Linked DNA regions of Alligator mississippiensis. The protein of the gene in region 2 interacts with the protein of the main gene of each other region in a pairwise test. Links are inferred from orthologs where the notes say so. Each region holds a gene or a part of one and is shown on either strand. Other genes may lie near its edges.

Region 1 (3,819 bases), on a different chromosome or scaffold from region 2:
GTGAATGAAACTAGAAGGCTTTCAGCTCAATCAAGAGAAAAAAAGAGGAACAGACTAACAAATGAACGCACTACTAAGTTTTTTTCTATTTCTCAATTCTCTCTTGCTTCTGGAGAATCAGTCAGAAGCATAATTAGTGAAGAAGATGCAGCATGATGATAAATTGCCCTTGCGGACAGACTCCTTGGTAAAACCATCCTTTAGCAATAGAGAACGTGGTTCAAGTCGTTCTGAATCAGATTTGCTTCCAACTGATTCTGAAATGGAACTAATAAGTAGTGCAAGTGATTCTGCAGATAGTGACAGTGAAACTGGAGGTGCCGTGATGACCTCTGTGGAAGAGAGTTTAACTCTGTTGAAGTAGATGAGTGGATAACCACGGCATATCGTGCACAGTTCTTTAGGTGTGCTAAAATGAGTGTATCAACAGTTTTCAGTGCCTTTGTTTTTTTCTTAAATCGATACAAGCAAGGTAAGAGAAGCACACGCTATTGTGTATTCTCTTTACATTTTTACAAGTATTTCAATAAAAATAATTTCTTCCCACATAAAGCTTTAAAATTTGTTTGAATATAACATTTAAACCATACTAAGTGTGCTGTATTTAATTTTTTTCCTAATCAAATATTTCAGTTCAAATACTTGTGGTTATTGGGAAATAAAATTAACATTTTTAGTTCTGTTTACTAAATACAAGTCAAATAAACATGCTAAATCAGACCATGCTCTATTTAGGGCATTGGAAATTTTTTCCAGAAAACCCACATCTCTGTACACCAACAGCAAAACTTAACAATTACTGCTGTTCAAGAAGTAGCACTTGCTCATGAAGCTGCATCTCTCCATTCAAAGGAGATATAAATGTTGCTGCAAACATGACATCGGGCTCACTAAGTACAGTCCAAAAGGAGTTTTCCAAAGTCACCACCAGCTCACTGAAGAATTAATTCTCCATCCTTCAGAAGCTCCTATAGCTATGGTGGACTCCACAGACAAAACAGAGGCTGTTTCTGCCATGCTAACTACAATCATTGTAAGCACAAGGATCACATTAAATGTGTATCAGAAACTCAAGCCATCCAGAAAAAAGTCAAATGAGCAGGGCATACCTTCAACCGACACAAATATTTATGCTGATCTGAATAAAATTTCAGCCTGTTGAGCACTTGCAGATACCTGTACTACTGGGTTTGTCAATTGTGAAGAAAACACACCTGAACAGAAGATCTACACCACAGTGCTGTTCCAGGGTATTCCATGTGTCACAGAGGATCCTCAGGATTCCACATCTGCCTTAATTTCACAAGAGACAAAAAATGCTGTGCTCTCCAAAATCAACCACCTATTGTCACATGTGAAACAAGACTTGTTGACTACAATAAACAAGCTGTTGACTTAAAACAGGAGCAGACAAAATACAGCCCATGGGCCAAGTATGGCCCACCAGGCAATTTCGTCCTGCTTACAGGCACCTACCAATTAATTGTACCCCGCCAGGCACATATGCTTCACTCCCACCCTCCCATGTGGGAGGGCCCCAGCCAGCATGCACAGCTTCCAGACAGGCCCACTGCTGCCACCACCAGGGGACCTCCTCACCTTCCCCAGCCTCCAGCAGCTCCTCCTTCTGTCTCTGCTGCAGTGCTCACTCCAAGCAGGAAGTAGGGAAGCTGCAGCTGGGCCAGGAGTGTGGGACTGGTGGAAGTCCGGAGCCTGGGGTTTGCACTGGTAGCAGGGTGGCCGGAGTGTGGAACTTGGGTGGACAAGGTGTAGGTGTGTGTGAGGTTTGTGGGGTGGGTGTAGGGACCTCCCCCCCCCACACATGGCACACAGCACACAAAGAGAGATTAAAAAACCCACAGTCCATACCAATCTGGCCATGGGGTAAAATTCCTTCCTGACCCCAAATACAGCACTGGTTTGACCCAGAGTGGAGGGGCAGGATGCTCTAGCCAGGTACCTCTGGCTTTCAGTCCTAGAAAAAGCACTGGCACACCCTAGTCAAAATCCCTTGGCTGCAGCCAAAACCCCATGCCTCTGAGGGAAGCTTAAAAACACTTTGACACACATAGCAGGGAGCAACCAGCAAAGCCCAGAAACATGGGAAATACTCACAGCAGAACAGAGGCCTACTGCTGATAGTAACTGGAATTTGCAATTGGTTTATTTTTTTTTATTACAATAGCATGCAAATCCAAGGCTGAAGCCTCACAGAAGGACTGATGAAAAGCAAATTAAAGACCTGTATACATCAAAGCTTCCCAGACTTGTAGCTGAGCACCAGAAGCAAAAACTCGGGTTCTCCGCCCATACAGATGTCCAAACCAAACACAGCTGCGCACCTCCAAAGCCAAGCAAGCAAACCACAGTGGGTGCCTACAGCTGTTCTTGAAGCGACAGGGCCAGTGTCATACCAAGCCAAGACTCCAGATGCTAACACACTTCACAGACATGGCAGCGGTGCCCAGATGCAGTGCCAGGCTTCAGTCCAGGAGACATCCTGCTGCCACAGAGCAGGCTCTCACAAGGCCCATTAAATGCTCTAGCTGCTGGCAGTAAGCACCTCCAAAGCCGGCCTAGCCTAGGCTGCACGAGGAAGCCGCCAAGCAGCCTAAAAGCAGCAGGGCAGGAGTGAGCAGCAGAGCAGCCGGCCCCTCAGCCAGCAGCCCCCGGACCGCTGAGAAACGCGAGCGCGGCACCCACAACCGCTCCCAGCTCACCTGCCTCTGAGCCAGTCGCCTCGGCGGGAGCTCGGCGCTGAGCCGGGAGCCACACCCACCCGACGCTGCGCCTGCGCAGCTCCTGCTAGGAGCGCGCCGCAGGCCGCCTTCCGGCGGAGCGTCAGCTCGGAGCCTTGTCTAACTCCTCCCCGTCTCTTTCGCCACTTGCGCCAGCCGGGCCCTAGTTTATGCTCCTGGAGCCGCCGCTGTCGCGGCAAGGCCAGGCCGGGTGTGCCTGCAGCGCCGGGCTGAGGAGCTCGCCCCGGGCCTGGGCAGAGCGTTCCCCCTCCTGTCCCGGCTTGTTCTTGAGGTGAGGCTTCAGCGCCAGCTTTCTGCTTAGTTGACGGTTGCTGCTGTTTCCTGCCCGTGTTTATTGGCACGGGAAGGATGTCGGCAGAAGGGATAGCAGCCAGGCATTTCAGTAACATGTACACTATGAAAGAAAGAACCTCGGAGCAAAGCCTGGAGTGCATCACACTCACTAAGCCCTAGGTGACTGGTAGAGGGTGCACAAGGGTGCACATGCCCTCCCCCCCACAGGTGCCCTGCCTGAGGGCCAGCACCAACTCTTGGCGGGGCTGGTGCCCCCGAGCTGTTGGCAGCTTCTGCGGGTGCCCCCCCAGGTTCAGGAGGCACCAGTCACTCATGCACTAAACTTCTGTTGCTGCTGTAGAAAGCAGCTGCAGGAACTAATTGAGGTCTGGAAAACCTGCCTTATAATCAAATTCTTTAGAGAAGGATAAGGGGTGACTTGACCACAGACTACAAGGACCTCCGTGGAAAGATTTCTAATAGCATTAGACTACTTGATCTGTCAGGCAGAGGTATTCACTACCAGTGACTAGAAGCTAGGCAAATTCTGAGTACAAACAGATTTTTAACTGTACCACTGAAGTGGTTGAACCACTGAAGAAAGGTAGTTAAGGATGTGGGGGATTATTTGCTATCTGCAGCATACACCAGGGACTTGTACACCAGGCCACAAATCGGATACTCCTGGCTTTGGTGGATATTATTGTTAGGGTGACAATATTTGAATCTTAGAGAGTGCTGGATTTGCAGCTGAATACAAGGCATGACCTGTGGCCTAGCAGACCTA
Region 2 (3,600 bases):
GCCTCTGAGGAAGGCTTTTTAAAAACACCTAGACACCCATAGCAGAAAGGTGGGAGCAACCAGCAAAGCCCGGGAAACCCCCAGAGCAGAACACAGGCAGAGCTACACCTAGATCATTCCTGACCAGTGCCTGTCCAACCTCTCCTTGAGCCCCTCCAGTGATGGAGAGCATACAGCTCCTCTAGGCAGTCTAGTCCACAGCCTCACTGCTCTAGCAGTAAAGAGGTTTTTCCTGATATCCAATTGAAACCTAAGTCTCCTGCTCTCTGAGTCCAATTCCATGCCCCTATAAGAACCAGCCCAGCAATCAAGGGGTTCACCCCCCTCCCCATACCCCAGACCAATTGCATTCCTCCCACTCCCTTTGCTACAAGCAGGTCAGTGTAGCAACAAAATGCACCACCATGGGGTGAAAGCGCTAGTTTTGGTTCCAGCAGGAGTATTCATAGATTCATAGATGTTAGGGTCGGAAGGGACCTCAATAGATCATCGAGTCCAACCCCCTGCATAGGCAGGAAAGAGTGCTGGGTTTAGATGACCCCAGCTAGATGCCTATCTAACCTCCTCTTGAAGACCCCCAGGGTAGGGGAGAGCACCACCTCCCTTGGGAGCCCATTCCAGACTTTGGCCACTCTAACTGTGAAGTTCTTCCTAATGTCTAGTCTAAATCTGCTCTCTGCTAGCTTATGGCCATTATTTCTTGTAACCCCCAGGGGCGCCTTGGTGAGTAAAGCCTCACCAATTCCCTTCTGTGCCCCCATGATGAACTTGACACAACCCAATTGGCACAACCCAATCCCAATCCCCAAGCAGCCAACACCCAATGCCTTGAAGGGAGGCTTAAAAACACCTTGACACGTGCAGCAGAAAGGTGGGGAAGGGGGCAATCAGTAAAGCCCAGAAGCCTGGGAAACCCCATAGCAAAACACAGGCAACCAGCACCACTGCTGCCCCCCACTTCCTGGGAATTACATGTGTAAGGACCCCAGTGGTGCAGGGACAGATTAACCCTTTAGTGGACCCTAGGGAAACCAGCTGAAGATAAAATTTGTATATTCCTTTTTTTCACTCAATAATTATAATAGGTAAAATAAGCACAATTGGGTCTCTTCTTCACTTAGGGCCCTAGGCATGTACCTAGTTTGCCTATGTGTTAATCTGGCCCTGCAGTGGTGACCCTTGGTAGGGGATGCCCTATTCCAATCCCCCCACAATCAAGAGACTATATTTCCCAGGGTGCATCTGTCTCCCCTCTTCCTTTATAACTCCTGCCCAGGGGGAACACGTGATCCCGGATCAGCTGGGGCTGGGCTGGCCTGGCCATGGCTTCGGGGCTGCGCTACCCAGGCAAGGTTGCCCTTGTGACGGGAGGCACGAGGGGCATCGGGGAAGCCATCGTCAGGGAGTTTGGTAAGGGGGGACAGAGGTCTCTGTGTGCTGGGGCTGGGATGGGTAGAGCAGGAACTGGAGTGCAGTGGGTTTGGGGGTGAGTGGGACTGGGGGTTATTGGGTGTGGGGTGGCTGGGGGAGCTGGGATCAGGGTGCACTGGGTCTGAGGGGATGGGATGGGGCAGGGCAGGGACTGGGTACAGTGGGCTTGGGGATGAGTGGGACTGGGGGTATTAGGTGTGGGGGCTGAAGGGAGCTGAAGTCAGGGCTATTGCAGGGACTCTGTGGGAAAGCCGGGGAGGTGGGGGTCAAGGAGCAGGGAGTCCTTGGGGTGATGCGGAGGGGGGCTCTGGGCTGGGGCAGGGGCCTAGTGAGTTGTGGGGCTGGGATTGTGGGGGTCAAGGGGTGGCATGGGGGAGCAGGGAGGACGGGGCTGCCATGTCTGACCATGGAGGGGTTGGGGGCTGAGGCATGGGGTGGCAGATATAGTGGGGGATCTGCAAGGCTGGGATTGGGGCCTGGGTGGGGAGAGGACTTTGAGGCAGGGCCAAGGCTTGGACCCAGCTGGACTTTGTCTGTCCCGAGACTGTTCATCCAGCAGGTCACTGACTTGGAGGGGGGAAGAGGCCAGAGATATGAGTGTGGTGGGGGGGTAAAGCCTACAATGTACCCCACCTCTGTCCCCTGCCTTTGTTACCCAGCCCTGGGTTTGGCCTGCCCCTGTGCCCTCCACCACTAACAGCTCCTGTCAGGGGGGACCCTGATGCCCACCCCAGCTTTCTGTCATGGGGCTGAGCTGGTGGTGAAGAGGCTGTGTTAGCCCATCCCCCCCTCACCCCCCAGCACCAAATCTTGGCCCTTCCATTTCTATGAGACATGTATAGTGCAGGGAGCTGGTCAGTAGGGGGCAGCAGAGACCCATCCCTGCCTGGGGGGATGTGGAGGGTAGGCTAGGAGGAAGCTTGTAGCACTGAAGCAGGGGGGGGGGGGGGGATGTTGCCTCTGCCTGCACTGTAGGAGGAAGCGTGTAGCACCAGCCAATCTCACACTAACCTTGTCCTCTTACTTTGTCCCCTTGCAACTCCACAACTCCCCCCTCCACCCACACAGTCCATCAGGGAGCTCATGTGGTCTTCTGTGCCCCAAAAGCTGAAGGTGAACCTCCCCACCCCACCTCCTGTCCTTATCTCCCCTTCCCCGTGGGGCTCAGGTGGAGGGAGGCTTCCCCTTGCATCCCAGGGCTGGGGTGATTGGGACTGGGGACAGGGTCCTACACTTCTGGCCCCCAGATCTGTCCCTGCCTGGTATTTATGGATGCCCCCTTCCCCTTGGGATCTCCCATTCCCCCCAGTATCTAATGCTACCTCCTCCCCAGCTGTTTCTCCCCACCCCTCTTCCCTTTTCACTTGCAGAGGAGGTGGGGGAGGCACTGGAGCAGGCACTAAAGGAGTCGGGTGGCCCCGGGAAGCCGTTCTTCTGGCCCTGTGATGTCACCAGTGAACAGGATATCCAGGTGGGTTGGGCTTGGGGAGGAGTGGGGGAGAGGTCTTTAAAGAGAAAGCAATAGGGGTCTCAAGCCCCCCTGCTCATCATACAGCACCTCAAGATGGTAGGCACTTGAGGCTGGGTCTGATAAGGCCTGTCCCTCCCAATCTGCCCTGAACCCCAAAAATCCCTACTGTCCTCCCCTGATTCCCTATACCCCTGGCTCTCTCCCTCTGACCCCTGCTCCTTGCTCCCCTCTTCCAGGCCCTGGTATCCACAACCCTGCAGCGCTTTGGGCACCTGGACTGTCTTGTGAACAATGCCGGGCAGCGTGAGTCACCCTGATAGTGCCAGGGGATCTTTGGAGGGACCCTGACGGGGTAGGGGGGCGGATGCTGTATTAGGGAGCTCCTCCTGCTGGGAGGGGTGTTGCACATTAGCAGGATCCCCAGGGGCCAGGGGGGTATAGCAGAGTAGACGTGCTGCTCCTCCCAGGTAGTTGGCTTTAAACTTTTGGTGGAACAGGAATCAAAAGGGGGTGCAAGTCCACCAGGGCACCCCTTGGATCTGCCTCAAAGGAGTTATTGTAGGCTGGTAAAGACCAGAGCATTTAGTTGTGACTGTAGGAGTGGAGAGGAGGCTGTGGCAGCAGGGTCCCTGGGACACGTGGGTTCAAGAGGGCAGGGGCTGGGGCTGTGGCCAGGACTCAGGCAGTCATGGGCAGAT
Region 3 (3,819 bases), on a different chromosome or scaffold from region 2:
AGCTGAAACTATAGCTGCTGCTGAAGATTGGACTCCATGTATCCAGGATTTGGAAAAGAGCTAAAAACAGTCCAAAGGGCTGTGAAATAGGGGGAGAGACACCTTGAGTAGCTAATATACAGCAAAATTGCTGAAGAAAGCTTGATTAATGGAACATTAAAAGGAGAGTTGTTGATATCTGTAGACTGAAGAGCAATTAGCAAGAATCAGGTATAAAGAGCTATGAAGTCAGCCCTGCCTGAATAGAAATGCTATGGCTGCAGCCAGGCAGTTGGTTTTAAATTTGGGTGGCGCAGGAATCAAAGTGGGGTGCAACCATGCCACTGTACCCCTCTGGATCTGTCCCTGCTGGACTTTGCCTCCCCCTCCACATGGCTGCTAGAGGGAAGAGAAGTAATAGCCATCTTATACTGTGTCTTCATACTTCTATTTTGGGCAGAAAAATTATCTTCCTCACTTAAGATACATACCCACTGAAGATATACATGCTACAGGCAGTGTTTCCTGGTCCCAACCTGCTTTTAGCAATTTGACAGCAGTGGAGGGTGACCATATTAATCGCCACCACTCCCCCACTGCCAGATTTCCTGACTCTTGGGGAGCCCTGTGGGCTGGATGCCATGGCTCCATGGGCCAAATTTGGCTCATGGGCTAGAAGCACCCCGATCTACACTGTCTGTCTGTGCAGCCTACATGGTCTTTCTCCTCAGTGTTCCCCAAATACCAATTTCTGTAGTGCATAGCCACCCATAGCCTCTAGGCCAGCGGTTCTCAAACTGTGGGTCACGACCCGAAATAGGGTGACGTCAGCTGATGGGGTCACGGGGGTGGGGGGCTGTGGGTTGGGAGTGAGGGGCTATGCTGAGGAGACGGGGCCATCAAGGGGGTCATGCTGAGGCAAAGTTTGGGAAGCGCTGCTCTAGGCCAACGCTTCTCAACCTTTTTAGACTTGGAGGTGCCCCTTGTTCAACTCAATCTGCCCCTCAACGGATGTCAGCCTTTAGCCTCCACTCCTTTGGTGCCTGCAGAACAATGGTGGAGCAGTGGCTCCCAGGCGGTTGAGGTGGCAACATCAGTGGATGGGGGGCTGTGGGTTGGGAGTGAGGGGCCATGCTGAGGAAAGGAGGACCATCGGTGGGGTCATGCTGAGGAAGCAGGGCCAGCAATGGGGGTCATGCTGAGGACAAGTTTGGGAAGTGCTGTCCTCCTCTCCCAGCAGGTCTTTTCACTCTGCCCCTTTCTAGTTGAAGGCTCTGGGTTGCTCTTGCAGGGGTGTTGCCTGGTTCAGGACACAGGCAGGCAGCTGGGATAGCTTTCATTAGACCAGCTGAGTACTTGGAGAAAAAGTTCTCTGCGATGCCAGGTTGCTCTTGTGCTGCTGTCGGCGCACCTCCGGCCCGCCCGGGGTGTCGGGAGCCCCGGTCCCCGCCTGCGAGAGCCCGCCCGGGACTGCAGCCACACACCCCTCCTCGCTGCTACGTGTGTGTCACACACACACACACACACACACAGGCACGCGCCGGCTGAGCCTCCAGCGGCTGCCTGATCCGCACCGGACGCAGGGAGGGAGGGAGGCAGAGCGGCGCCCTTCCCGGCCACAGGCAGAGCCGAGAGCGGGGAGCCTGCCCATGGCTGACAAGAGCTTCATCGAGGAGTCCGAGCTATGCCCGCGGAAGGACGAGGCTCTGGAGTGGGGCTACGAGGAAGGTAAAGGCGGCGGCACTCGCCCCCGCCCGGGGCTTGCTCCGCAGCGCGGTCCCGCAGTGGCTCCGGCGCCCACCTGCAGGCTCCCGGGCGCGGGCAGCGGGCTGGCGCCGCTCCGCCGCCCGACCCGACCCGACCCGACCCGACCCCAGCTCCAGCTCCAGCTCCTCCTAAACGAGCCCCCACAGAAGGGAACCCGGCTTGTTTCAAGGTGCCCCCAGTGTCGCTGCGCCCAGGACCGGCCAGCCCAGCCCATGGCTTAGAGCACCAGAGCCACCCGACTTCCTAGTATGGCTGGAGGGATGGGTCTGCTTTGGGGAAGACCCCGCCGACAGCTTGCTAGATGCTTATTTCTCATCCGAGAACTTGATTTCTGGCTTGTCTTGCACAGGGGGAGGAATTTTCCTCACATTTTCTTTTGTGCAGAAGCAAACACTAGTGGTGGACTGTTGGGGCTGCAGTCGGTCTCCTAAATGGACCCTCCCATGTTTTGAAAACTTGTCTTTAGAAAGCCTGTGGGAGCAAGGGTGGCTTTAAAGAAATCCAATGTTTTAGGGTAGCGAAGCACTGGAGCAGGCCACCCTGAGAGGTTGTGGGATCTCCTTGGAGGTTTTTAAGACCCTGGTAGACAAAGCCTTGGCTAGGATGATGTACTTGGGGATGGTCTGGCTTTGAGCAGGAGGTTGAATAGATGACCTCTGGAGGTCCCTTCAAACCCTAATTTTCTATGAATCATTTGGGTTTGAGGCTGATACTGAGGGAAAGGACTCACGTGCCTGTCATTATTTGCCTTTGTCCTAATCCCCCTAAGATTGCATCTCCATCACGGCAAAGCTCTCTGAATTTATTTCCACATGATTACATGTTGCAGGAGTGGAGTGGGGACTGATCTTCCCTGATGCAAATGGGGAATACCAGTCTCCGATCAACCTGAATTCGAGAGAAGCCAATTATGACCCTTCTCTCCTGGAAGTGCACCTGACACCAAACTATGTTGTCTGCCGGGACTGCGAAGTCATTAACGATGGGCATTCGATTCAGATTGTCCTGAAGTCAAAATCAGGTATGCTCCAACAGGGTTTCCATCTTTCCTGCACAGAGCAAAACATCATTTTATGGTTTTTATTGGTGTATAAATGTGCAAGGTGTATTGTTCATGAAGCAATTGATCAGAGAAGCAACACTTCCTTCTGTGCAACTGGGAGGCTGATCATCGCTCATCCTGGCAGCCAATGGGAATTTTGCCCCTGACTTCAAAGAGAGCAGGTGGAAGTCTTGTGCATTGATTATAGCCCAAAACTGGACTTTCTTTTTGAGAACCTGTTAGAAATCAAATCATTCATCCTTAAGACAAGGACCTTTGTTGTCAGTTTGTTTCAGAGGATGATGCATTGCTGAAAATAGGCACTTCTGGCCTTGTGACCTAATTCCCTTCAGCTAACAAGTGCCTGTAGTTCAGAAATAGCCAAGAATATAACGAAGATGTTGTCCAACCTAAATTGTATCATGTAGTTTAGTTGATTAAGATCTGTGAACCTGACCTAAAGCCCATGTAAGTCAAGAGGAGTCTATATTAATTTAAATGAGTGCAGAATGAGACAATGTATGGATACTGTGGACTATGATTTGATCTAGCATAGATGATTTGGAATGAAACACTTACAGTGCTTCTGCTGAGAATATTGACAATGAACACATTTTCCAGATGCGAATGGATGTCAGTTGTAGTGGCATTGCACCACTATTTACCTCAGAATTAATTAGAAGGCAATAAAGGAAGCATTTCCAGGTGCAATTCTGGAAGAATTCCAGGGCCAGAACATTGACTCTGGATGAGTTGTCAGTTTTGCAGGACTTGAGGTTCAAGAAAGAAGGGGGAGAGAGGTAATTCTTTGTGCTTGTCCTATTAGTCAGGGGTCAATTCAGCTCATGTGTAATTCAAGGAGTCTTAGATTGGTTCTAACCTATGCTGGCTGATAAAGTGTGTTGTGGGGTCTGTTGTGTACCTGACAGTTGCCAGAGTACAAGATATTCCAGTAGTGCCTCCTCCTGGCACTATCAGGCTCCCTAGATGATATCTCCTGGTTTCCCATGCTGAGGAGATCTATAGGCACT

What was found.
Region 1: the proteins of HSD17B14 (region 2) and MPG interact in binary tests that used the Homo sapiens proteins (3 or more experiments, as listed by UniProt). The two-hybrid records come from large-scale screens. The link is inferred for Alligator mississippiensis from reciprocal best matches to the Homo sapiens genes HSD17B14 and MPG.
Region 3: the proteins of HSD17B14 (region 2) and CA8 interact in binary tests that used the Homo sapiens proteins (3 or more experiments, as listed by UniProt). The two-hybrid records come from large-scale screens. The link is inferred for Alligator mississippiensis from reciprocal best matches to the Homo sapiens genes HSD17B14 and CA8.

The regions. Positions count from the first base shown.
Region 1 is NC_081836.1:21,549,902-21,553,720, reverse strand, and holds the start of MPG (DNA-3-methyladenine glycosylase), read right to left. Parts: upstream 2,867-3,819; 5' UTR 2,721-2,866; intron 1-2,720. UniProt on the Homo sapiens protein: Hydrolysis of the deoxyribose N-glycosidic bond to excise 3-methyladenine, and 7-methylguanine from the damaged DNA polymer formed by alkylation lesions.
Region 2 is NC_081828.1:39,480,202-39,483,801, reverse strand, and holds the start of HSD17B14 (17-beta-hydroxysteroid dehydrogenase 14), read left to right. Parts: upstream 1-1,283; 5' UTR 1,284-1,322; coding exon 1,323-1,410; intron 1,411-2,499; coding exon 2,500-2,544; intron 2,545-2,764; coding exon of another isoform or gene 2,765-2,801; coding exon 2,802-2,902; intron 2,903-3,138; coding exon 3,139-3,205; intron 3,206-3,600. UniProt on the Homo sapiens protein: Catalyzes the NAD(+)-dependent oxidation of L-fucose, yielding L-fucono-1,5-lactone, which rapidly converts spontaneously to L-fucone-1,4-lactone. Can also act on D-arabinose and L-galactose, with lower catalytic efficiency. Does not use NADPH.
Region 3 is NC_081826.1:68,392,209-68,396,027, forward strand, and holds the start of CA8 (carbonic anhydrase-related protein), read left to right. Parts: upstream 1-1,498; 5' UTR 1,499-1,628; coding exon 1,629-1,707; intron 1,708-2,575; coding exon 2,576-2,767; intron 2,768-3,819. UniProt on the Homo sapiens protein: Does not have a carbonic anhydrase catalytic activity.